3 linked regions of the Schizosaccharomyces pombe genome follow. The protein of the gene in region 2 interacts with the protein of the main gene of each other region in a pairwise test. Each region holds a gene or a part of one and is shown on either strand. Other genes may lie near its edges.

Region 1 (4,653 bases), 2.8 Mb from region 2:
CAACATCACCGTAGTCCACAAGGCTACCATTATGCGCATGGCTGACGGTTTATTTTTGGAATGCGCCAAGGAGCTTGCACCTGAATATCCTGATATCGAGCTTAGGGAGGAAATCTTGGATAACGCCTGCTTGAAGATTGTCACCGATCCTGTCCCTTATAACAACACAGTTATGGTTATGCCCAATTTATACGGTGATATTGTTTCTGATATGTGCGCTGGTTTAATTGGCGGTCTTGGTTTGACTCCTTCCGGAAACATTGGCAACCAAGCTTCCATCTTTGAAGCTGTTCATGGTACTGCCCCTGATATTGCTGGAAAAGGTTTAGCCAACCCTACTGCTTTACTGTTATCTTCTGTAATGATGTTGAAGCACATGAATTTAAATGATTATGCCAAACGCATCGAATCAGGTATGTGTTTTACTAAATTAAGATTTTGTCTGTTTACTAATTACCATTAGCTATCTTTGATACCCTTGCAAACAATCCCGATGCTCGCACCAAGGATTTGGGCGGCAAGTCAAACAATGTTCAATATACCGATGCCATTATTTCTAAACTGAAGTAACATGCCCATTTTGTTTACTTCTTGCTATGAACACTGAATTTATGTTTCTTTCCTTATCATGAGTTTTCTCTCCTAGCCGATTTTTGTTACCACTTTTAATGAATTGTGTAACGATTTGAGTTGTAATTCGGAAGCATTAACTCTTTTGTATCAAAAAACCGAATTGATCGAAATGTTAGTTACAAATATTTCAATATGAAATCTCCATTTTTGAAATGCTTATTGCACTCTATAAGATTAATCAATTAGTTGCTTATATTTTATGACAGCCGCATACAATGCAGCCCATTAATTCATTCTCTGAAAAACTTTTGTAAAAGTAAATAAACTAGCGCCATCTTCCTTCTTCTACCTCTATGTTCATGTTGTCGCTTGTATTAGATTCGCCAGTCTCCATGGATGTAGTATTAGTTGTAACAGCTGTTTTTGGCACCCACGCCAACTCCAATTCTTGAAGTTTTTCAACGTTCCGAACTCCACCAAAAAACTAAAATTTGTTAACTTGAAATTTTTTCTGTCAGAGAAAGAATCAGCTACATACCTTTTCAGCGGAATTTCTATTCTGAAAACTGATAAGACGTTCAGTAGTTGAAGGTTCAGTAATTTCCTCATATCCTCCAACAGTGAATAAGTATTGCAACAAAGCTTCATTTTTTTCAGGAGAAACATTTATTACACGAAGCTTAGTTGGACGATTATCGATGGACATTGACGCAAACATATCACCTCGTCCGCGACCTCTGCCACGGAAAAATGTGTTGGTACCTCGCTGGGGAAGTCCTGAAGCGTAAGGATGATGAGAACCATTAGATGCCGCTGGGCTTTCAGAAACGTTGCTCACAGGTAACCCTAAGCAATCAGCCTCAGCCTTCAAAAGAGAATGCTGAGTTTCTAACAACATGAGTCTTTTGTTTCCTGAACGGTCAGTTTCCTTAATTTTTTGCATCAGTAACTCTTGTTCTTTTAATTGTTGCTGTGCAAGCTCGCGCTTTTTTTGGTTAAGTTCTTCTAGTGCCTTTTTATTAGCATTTATGCGTTTTAAACGTTCTTCGTGCTGCCTTTGCCTTTCTTCAATCAGTTTATGAAACTCTTCGTTTTGTAACAAAGAAGCAGGATCGACATCTTCAGAACTCTCTACATTCGACGAATCGGAAGTAGTGGGAGATTTATGGGATGCAAACTTCTTTGGTCGATTGTGAAATCCCTTTGACGGATTATACCAAAATATTTTAATAAAGCGATTGTTAAATATGGGCTCAGGCGAGGACCAAGCATTGTTGGCAGCCTCATGGGAAGTGAATTCTAACACACAAGAATGATGTGTCGGATTTAATTCGACTTTCTCCAATACACCGAACTTTGAAAAAAAGGACCTAATGTTCTCCTCATTAAAATGCTCTTCCGGAATGTTTCGCACTTCTAAAGCAGTACTTGTTGGATCATTGCCAGCGTTACGAGAGAAGCGATGTCCCAGATGGGGTTGGGGATACGCTTTGTATGGATTAAATCTTCGATTACCAGGAGAATGCCTACGAAGTTCACTATTATGCTCATGGCGCATGCCAAATCCTCTTTTACCTCGCATCTTAAATGGGGGAGGGAAAGGAGGCTGCGCCGCAGGATTAAATGGTAAGAATGGTATGGGAGGCATTGCAGGATTTGGTAAGTTTCCAAACCCAGGAATACTGGGCATGAATTCAGAAGGTGCTGTGGCTGCTGGATGGTACAACGGAGGTCCAAACATATTAGGCACCTGAGAGGGAAAAGTGTTTGTTTTTCCTACAGCAGGTAAAGAATTATTAAAATTGGTTTCCATGCTGTTGGTGGCAGGGATCATTGATGAAGTTGGCGAATACCTTGAAACTTCTTCAGTCACCATACCGGTTGACGGCATATTTGAAGCACCCTCCAAGTAAGATTTTTCACGTAAAACATCAAAAATTTTATCAACAAAAGGAATTGTCTCCTGTCGCAAAAAATCTTCTAGTTGTGAGTAGCATAACTGGCGAACTTCTTCTTCAGAAGAATCGTGCCTTAACAATGCCATAGCATAATCTGATAAAACACTTGCATCAGCATCAGAACTAGTCATTTCGTTAGCATATTGATAAACAATTTTTTAGCGTGTAAAAAAAAAAATCACGCAAATTGGCAACTCAAAAAAAATTACATACATTGGCTCCAACGCCTGTTCTAAATATCTTTTCAAATACTAAAAGCGTTAATTCGGCATCTTAAAAATAAAATTACCTCAGCATGTTCTTCTAAGAACAACGGCATTGTGATGGAGCAAAGTGCTGGTTGTTGGAGCGTTACGCATGGTTGAGCCAGTAAGAAAATATAGATCACATAAGGTAAAATCTTTAACAATTAGCCAGAAAGTTCAAAAAGAATAAACATAATACCAAAATAATAACAAATGTCTTAGCTAGGGCAATTGGCTGGGATAAAATTTAACTGAGTAGTCGACATTAGATAAGGAATAGGAAGGTTTGCATAATATTACTCGTATTTAGACTACTAATATACAATGTATTTTAAGTCAAACTCTGACGATTATGAGAGTTTCGAAAGAGTTCACTTGTCTCCAATTATTTCATTGATTAAATTGTCAGCACAACAGTGAGTAAACGTGTTAGCTATATGCACTTTTTTATATTTTAGCACCACTTATAAATAGTTAATTTTAACGGTGGAGTGATTACATTTATATTAAATTATTTGAAAACCTAACTCGTCAAGAGAGCTAATGAACGTCCGGTATAGTCCGCATGAGTAAGTTGAAAATTAAAAAAAAAGGAAGTCTCTACATAAGAAGAGAAGAAGTTTTGCTTATGTACATGCGAAAACGCTTTTTACCCATTTTTTAAAAAAAAAGGTGATGTAGAAAGAAAAGAAAGATTATAAGTCGGGAATGAAAGATAATAGTTTAAGTTGACAGAACAAGATAAGGAAGTTAAGTGACAGCAACTTTCAATTAAGCCTTTATTTAAACCCTTCCAATTAAGATGAGGCAAGTAAATGATCAAGATGTGTAATGAATCATCAACATCCTTTTTTTAATTATCCAACGATAAATCCTATTTCAGTGGGTCTGTAAAGCAATCTCATATCCCAACATAAAAGGAAATGTCCTTAAAAGTATCCTAATAAATTCAAATCGGGTAAGTATGTAATAAAAGTATAACGACAATAACTGATCAATAATATAGCGAAAGGCGCCAGCAACAACGGATAGCAAAAAAAAAAATAGCTGAAAATTTTAATCAAAATTTACGTTATGAAAAATGACAAATACTAGAACAGTATAAACATGAAAAGCATTAACAACGTTGAAAAGGAAATAAACGATCGCATCCTTTATAAATAGGATAAGGGTATAAGTAAATCTAGTTCTGTTTAGAAGAAGGAGATTCAGAGGACTCGTTACTCTGTATGCTATTGTTTTTTCTATGTATTGAAGCAAAATATGAAGAACGAAAAGCTTCCCAACCTTCGATCACCAATATGTCAAATCGTTTGCTTGATAATATAAGATGGACACCACAATCCAAAGGCTTTCTCACCTGGAACCACGGGACAGGAGTTATAACAAGGCGAATGTTAAAAAACCTCATCGCTTTGTTGACTTGTTGAACATAACGTGATGGATATACTATTGTAGTCCGATACAATCCAGAAAAATAAAAGAGCAAAAGTGTAACAATTCCGCATAAAAGACAAAGTTTGTAAGTCAAATCAATCAACGAGTATTTTGAGATGCGATAAAAGACGCGATAGCCAAAGTAAAAGTTCCACACCAATAGTGAGACATAGAAAGCCATATACTTTTGACGACGAACTTGAAGCTGTAGGTATGTTTTCCGAAACGATGCCTCTAAAATTAACAAGTTGTGATATACGGACAGGGTGTTGGGCACATAAGAGGACATGGCATTTTATTCACTCTTAACAATACGTAGGAAAAAGAATAAAAAGATATAAAGAACTTGAAAAACAGAATATAAGAAAGCTTTTTGGAGATAACAATAATTGGACAATATCCAACACCAATTACAAGAAGTCGTTATGAAGACCACAGAA
Region 2 (3,221 bases):
GAAAAAAAGCAAAAGCATTACGATAGTGATTTTCATCTATGTAAAAAGTCAAGTCCTAAAAGCAACGAGATTGGAATTTAAAACGAAAAAGTTTAATGGTTTTAGCTGAGTTTTGTCGTTTTTCTCTAACTATTTAGGGATAAGGGAAGAGAGGATTCAAAAATTTCTTAATAATCCAAATGTATAAATGATGAGATATATAAATCCAAAGTATTAAACTTCGTTTTCATTTTAATTTTACTTTTTCGTTTCCTTCATAAAACTGCTGAAGATACTAATTCTCAAAATTTTGAGTTTACAATAACAAGGTTAGTCACTTTAGTTTATATTAATGATAAACAACAAATATTCATACTTTTTCCAGTGTATAATCATAATAAATCCCCATTTTGGCCAACATGAACAAAAAAAAGTCAGTATGATTCAACCAGATGGGCTGGAAGAGATAACTTGAATAGTAAGATCCTGTAAAGGCTACTCAAATCAATGTTTAGTATGTTGTCTTTCAAATTAGAAGAAAAATTGCTATCATCGTAGGCTATGCATATCCCGTTTATGCCAATTTCTACAGTCAGATTACATTCAAACAATTAACTTTAACACAGTTTACATCATCTGAAATAACAATTCATTTTGGTAGTATAATTTGAGATACAATCACTAATAGGAAAAATTATGGAGGATGGAAGTATTAAGCCTTTATTTTTGAATAATCACTCATTTCAGAAACATGCAACCAGTCCTATAAAATACCTTATTTTTGCAATCAAATTCTTTAAATAACTCGATCAAATTTAACCGTATCCGAAGACATGGCTTTACCAACGCTTGTTGTTCAATTAATGTAAAAAGTGAGACTTGGGTCTAGATATTTTACCATATATGGAGTGCACACAGTATGAGCTAGATTTGGCGTGCAATATATCTCCATTTGTTTGATAATAACAAAAATCACTCTTCCTTCATCTTCAAAAGACTGTTAAATAGCCAAGTACCAACTTATTCGGGTTTTCCACCAGGAATCAACTAGATAGTTAGTGTACAAAAATTCCTTTATTATTTTCATTGACATACCATGCACATCCCATTTCCGTTCAAAAGCATTTCAGAGTGTTTTTCGGTAACGCCGGTAACAGTATCACTTCATAGAAATTAGCAAAGATAATTAAAGTTATTATATTTCATACTATTCTGTAACATCTTTTAGAACAATATTCACATAATCATCGAATCCAACAAGTGTCCCCGCAAATTCGCGTTCACTTTTCATGATCACCCATAAGTTTGATCCAATGCATTTATCAATTAATTCTGCTTGTTAGCATGAACAGATTTACCCAGGGCATAAATCAATAATTTTTCCCTTTTCTTATTATGAAACTAATTTAGAATGTACTAATAAATCTACATACCTAAAGGTAAAATTGTCATCGACATGGTGGAGGTGGATTGCAAGTTCACATAAATTGCTACTATACAAGAACCATGCTATCATTTTACCTGAACACATAGTGTTAAGGGAATATCATTTATTGGAATCTTGAAGATTTTATAAATAAGAGGTTATCGTTTCATTAAAACTGTGGACATCTTATTCGGTCTTATTTTTTGGTCTTGTCGTTTGTCAAAATTACACAGTTGTCGAATAGCGATCCATTTCTTTGAATGAATCCAAGCTAAAGCTGTCTAGTTATAACTTACCCCAAGTATTTATTGCTACGATCAGGAATTAGTTATCCACATATTTTAGCCACAAAGTTCGTTAAATAATTAAGGTTTCCGTACCTGGTTCTCATATTCTAAATATTTGCTATTGCTATTTCTTAGTACGGAAAGTATAAGAGTTGGTTTTTTGCCTTCACTTACTTATAACGTTCACTACTTAGCAAGTGAACTTTACAAGCAATATTCCGCATGGATGCAAATCAGAAGTTATTAGATTTTGCGAAGCTTTTAAATCAAAAGAATGATTCTCGTCCTGTAATTGAAAAATTGAAGGATAATATAAGTGGTGATTTATTGAATTACTTCCTCAATCTTCTAGAGGAAATCTCAAAGTTGGATACAGACCAACCCTTAAGTGTTACCTCTCTACGATGTTTGCAGCTTTTTGTTCATCTTACATTTTTGCTTGGTGTTTATACTCAACTCCCCAAAGAAATGCTATCGCAAGCGAAAATTAAGGCATTACCTATTTATACCCCCAAAAAAAATCTGGTCCAAATTTACAATATTTTACTTCCTTTATTGTTAACTCCAAGTTTATTACAAGGTCCACTTAACCTTCACTATGCCGACTTATTGTTGCTTCATTTATATTTGTTGAACTGCCATGAACAAGGTTCTCTCATTGAAGAACCCAGGCCTTTATTTTTAGACCCTTCATGGAAAGAAAAAGTAACGAGCATAATGTCTCCACAAATGGTTGATCCATCTAAAATGATTTCTTCTTGTTTATCGCTATTACAACCGAATGTAGATAACTGGTTGCAAGATAAATTGAAACATTATTTAACTACCTGTCTTTGTAGAGAAACTGGCGTGCAAGGATTTCTCAAAGTTTATATGCAAGCACAGCCAAATTCAATCGAACGCGCACGACAGGCCGCTCATCTGATTTCATCTGTTCCAAAGGATATCTCACCACAGAAATATTTTTCGTGTATTCTTCCTCAGGTTTGGAGCCTTTTCAGCACTCAACCTCGATTAGCGTCACAACTCATAATTGCTGTAACAAATACACATTGTGATATTGTTACCTCTTTTCTTCTTAAAAAGCTCCAAATACTCGAAGCACCGAAAGTCATCGATTTATCCCCATTTGAAAATGCATTGGACGTTCTTCAAGTATTAGTCTACATTCAAAACGATGATATAATTCGCATATGTGAATCTTGTGTACCAAGTCTTTTGCACTTACAGGAGAACACAACTTTACGTTCTAAAGTTCAGGATATCTTGCTTCGTATTATATCAGTCTGTGGTACCAAATCGCTGTTAAGGAATTTAACAAATGCAAAACATCTTCGTATATTTTGCGAGAGACTGACAAAATCACAATTAGCAATGTTCCTGCCTAACTTGTTAGAAATATGGGTCCAGCAGCCACCAGACAAGCGTTTGGAATTACTCGAACTTGTTCAATATGCCCTGTCTAATGTTGATTCAGATGAAATTCCTAGTAATGTAATGCTGTCTGTCTGCACTAATCTGATCAATGA
Region 3 (3,586 bases), on a different chromosome or scaffold from region 2:
AAGATTGGGTTCGAGATGAGTTTTTTGATACTCTGAAAGAGAAAAAGAAGAGCTGTAAGGGTTTTTCTTTTGATGATCTACTACGCAGGGATTTAAAACAGTATTTTCCGGACGGAATAGTCGTCAATTATGCCAGTGTTGGAAAGGGATTAGATTGGATCAAGAAAAAACGTCTCGGATGGGAAGATGAATTGAAAAGTTTTGCCGAAGTGCAAAATTCTGATTTGGTAATTGTTGGGTTATCTCTGAGTAAGAACGACGAGTTTGGTCGTCAATTGATTTTATACAAGCGTACTGAAAGGGGAGCTGGTCTTGCCGATTCTTTCTTAAAACTTAGCAAACAAAATTTAGGATTAGAAATTATTGAAGAGAAAGATAATGGCGACCTCAGTATGTGGAATCAAAGAAATTCCGCTGCTAGCAGAAAGAAAGTAGTTCCCTTACTTATGGACTCAGTTAAACAAGTCGCTTCAAAATAGTTACTGCTTTAGACTCCATTGTGATTTCTGTTCTGTACATTTTACGATAGCTACACTCATCAGTAGGCTTATGATAGATTTTAAATTTTTTTAAAAGGATATATATTATACATCACATTGATCTAAATTTCTTACTTTGTAATCCCAAGATCCTTTTATTCAAAAAAATCACTGTCATCTGATTGATTATTTTGTAGTTCATCGTGGTAAATAGACTTGTTTGAAGAACTCTCTTCTTTTAATCGGTCGATTGCTGAACTCTTGAGCAACCGAAATTCTAGGAGTGAAGTTTCAAAATCATCTTTATTACCTAAATCAGCAAATCCGATAATCTTATCCACGAGCTGAGAATTTACGTAGCAAAGTACGGCTGGTAATACTTTGAGACCCAATTTGACTACCAAAAATGGAGCGTTGGCTGCTTCAATACGGATAAACTTAGTTTCCCAATGTACTTTGGCAATTTTCTGAGAATGTTAGCGTAAGCAATAAATGGAACTCCTCGTACCTCTAGATGAGAGTCTATAATTTTGCAACGTATAAAATCAGGGTGGTAAAAATGTATAACAACTTTTTTTGATGAACTAAAAAATAATTAGTTTAAAATAATCGAAGCTAATGTTTTGACATACAGCGTAAAATCCATAACTTCGCGCTCATTTTCTACAGTAAGAAACTGCATGTGTCCTTTTTCTTTTGCAGCTTCCACTCTAGCGAATCTGAACGGTTAAATTCTTAAAATCATTTTAAAGCTTTTTCTTACTCTTTTTTTAGCATCTCCAATCTCTGTTCTCGATAAGCAGTATCATCAAATTCATCCAACTGTGAAAAGAGCGCATCTTCCAATTCTGAATCACTTTCGGTTGCAGCTTGAGTAGCATACGTATCAGCGTAAAGATCAACTGTTGGGTCGTTACTAATGTCAACATTAGACATAATATGTACGCTACTGTAACCTACCTATTATGCAGTTCTGGTTCATTGTAATCCTGAGTATCCTCCTTTCTTTCAGTAACCTTCAAAGCTTCATACTCGTTGGCGATTTCCTTTTCCAAAGGAGATTTCATAGAAATCCAAGCAGGCTTGTTTTCTACAGGCTGAACGTTTGTCAAATCCATTTGATAACCACGTTTACGCGGCCCAAATCCATGGGATGCTGGAAAAGATGTCATATAAATTTCTTCAAATTTTCTAACATCTTCATCAAAGTTTCCCTCTTGTATGGAGGCGCGGATTCCTTGAAAAAAGGCAGTGAAGGCATAAACATTGTGTCTACAAATCGTTAGCTTTCTTTACCATGCTCTTTAATATAAACATACAGCTGTAAAAGTATCCAAGCAACTAGCTCTCTAGCCTGTAACAGATGCCTAACATAAGCGCGTTTGTATCTACGACATGTTTTGCAAACGCAGCCGGATTGCAATGGTTCCATGTCAGTAGCAAACCTTTCGTCCCACATATCCAAGCCAAGTTCAATTTTAGAATTCAACACATCTTTAGAAGGAGGCGGGAAAGAGAATGTAAGTGCAACACCAGCATCAGTAGCTTGTGTTATCATATCTGGAACAATAATGTCAATTCCTCTTTGAATGCATTTCAGAATTTCGAGTGGTGATTCAAATTTTTGAATACTCAGTCTTGGGAGACCAACCAAATCAGCTGGTAATGGATTGACATTGTTAGAAAATGCCAAGCCAGCAATGTTGTTAGCAAGTTGATTTTCTTGAAAAAACTGGAAAATAGGCGTAAGGTACTGAGTGTCCAGATCAGGAACAGGGAAAAATACTTTAGTAGTATTGAAAGCGTCCGTCGCTTTGAGTGCTAAAAGCAACTCAGTTGTCCAATTGACAGACCGTTCCACAATTTTTGGCTTCCTTTTGACACCAGGAGGACTAGTTGGGGTATCATTTAAAGGAATTACTAATTCAGGACAAAGCTTTAGGACAGCTTTAATATACAAGTCATTTGTCAGTTTCTTTGCACCACTTGCAGTAACGATATTAATATGACTTTGTCCTGCAGAAACAGATGGCAAAGGAGATGTTCTTCTTGGAGCAAGTAAAGTAGGTTGGACAGAGGGTGCTGCGATCCATTTTTTGATAGTTCCCTCATTAGTCAAGATTGGTGAGGCTTCCAGACGATCCAAGCTACAAACATATTAGTTAGAAATTCAAATTAAAAAAGATATGATAAAGCATTTGAGTCCTAAATTTAAACCTTACCAATCCTCCAACCCTACATAGAGAGCAGGAATATCGAATTCTTCAACATTGTCAGGTGTCAAATGAGGAACAGTTCCTCTGGAAGTAGGAAGGAAAAAGCAAGGAGTCTTCAGAACCTTGTTCTTCACCGTAACTGAAGATACGCGAGCCCCTGAAGGACTAGATAATGAAGAAATTGCCATCAATAAATCGCAAAATAAAGCTGCAAAAGTTTTGCTCTATTTACACATGTACGATATCAAAATAACGATGGTTCACTGTAGCACATTAAACGAATATTGCTATATGAATGTTTTTTAAATTTGAAAGATATTCAAACACAAAAGGTCGTCTAAACATTCGATTTATAATGTTGTAAAATAGCTTTGTTTGGATATCAGTAGTCTTACAAAACTGAAAGTTTTTAGTTAAGTAAAAAAAAAAATATCATTACATAAATTATAGTAAATTGTTTAGACTTTTTTTAAAGTTTTAAAGTAATAATAAAACATGCAAACAAGAAAGAAACAATGGAATAAAAACATTAATAACGGATAATTTTGCGACGGCGGAAGTCCTTTTCATCTGAAGCGATGTCATATAACGCTCTTCGTTTCATTTCTTTTTTCTCTTTTGTTCTTCGTTTCATTTGCTCCATCTCTTTCCTGGTATATCGCTTGTTTCTCCGTTCTGCCAGTAAACTTTGGCCATTGTGACTATTCAATGAAGAATTGATGTCAAAGTACTGTTCCATATGCTTATGTGCTTTGTTTTCTTCACTTCGCAACTCTGGTGAAGCCCATTTTGGCATAAACTTTCCAGATAGGCGATTGAACTGAACTTTCGCTGTGTAATCTAGGGGACTAGTCTGCTCTTCATCTTCTAACGGATTATTCCAGCTCGTCG

Evidence for each region.
Region 1: the proteins of lsm5 (region 2) and rmn1 interact in a two-hybrid assay, tested with the Schizosaccharomyces pombe proteins (one large-scale study listed by BioGRID).
Region 3: the proteins of lsm5 (region 2) and plp1 interact in a two-hybrid assay, tested with the Schizosaccharomyces pombe proteins (one large-scale study listed by BioGRID).

The regions. Positions count from the first base shown.
Region 1 is NC_003423.3:488,079-492,731, reverse strand, and holds rmn1 (MTREC (exosome adaptor) complex RNA-binding subunit Rmn1), read right to left. Parts: upstream 2,877-4,653; 5' UTR 2,851-2,876; coding exon 2,821-2,850; exon of another isoform or gene 2,783-2,820; coding exon 2,745-2,782; exon of another isoform or gene 2,655-2,744; coding exon 1,112-2,654; intron 1,058-1,111; coding exon 899-1,057; 3' UTR 571-898; downstream 1-570. Other genes in the region: idh2 (isocitrate dehydrogenase (NAD+) subunit 2), read left to right, coding at 1-413, 464-570; protein phosphatase regulator Nem2, read right to left, coding at 3,960-4,502.
Region 2 is NC_003423.3:3,299,520-3,302,740, reverse strand, and holds lsm5 (U6 snRNP-associated protein Lsm5), read right to left. Parts: upstream 1,447-3,221; 5' UTR 1,438-1,446; coding exon 1,413-1,437; intron 1,312-1,412; coding exon 1,188-1,311; intron 1,142-1,187; coding exon 1,075-1,141; intron 1,027-1,074; coding exon 1,000-1,026; 3' UTR 606-999; downstream 1-605. Other genes in the region: RNA polymerase II nuclear import protein Rtp1, read left to right, coding at 1,915-3,221. UniProt on the Schizosaccharomyces pombe protein: Component of LSm protein complexes, which are involved in RNA processing and may function in a chaperone-like manner. Component of the cytoplasmic LSM1-LSM7 complex which is involved in mRNA degradation by activating the decapping step.
Region 3 is NC_003424.3:3,947,296-3,950,881, forward strand, and holds plp1 (thioredoxin domain-containing protein), read right to left. Parts: upstream 1,652-3,586; coding exon 1,440-1,651; exon of another isoform or gene 1,396-1,439; coding exon 1,243-1,395; exon of another isoform or gene 1,199-1,242; coding exon 1,112-1,198; intron 1,064-1,111; coding exon 988-1,063; intron 947-987; coding exon 635-946; 3' UTR 590-634; downstream 1-589. Other genes in the region: ppx1 (exopolyphosphatase), read left to right, coding at 1-479; qtr2 (queuine tRNA-ribosyltransferase accessory subunit Qtrtd1/Qtr2), read right to left, coding at 1,762-2,626, 2,702-2,883; splicing-associated factor Saf2, read right to left, coding at 3,225-3,586. UniProt on the Schizosaccharomyces pombe protein: Inhibits early G-protein signaling events following pheromone stimulation. May help create heterodimerizable beta-tubulin by facilitating the efficient transfer of nascent beta-tubulin polypeptides to the folding apparatus.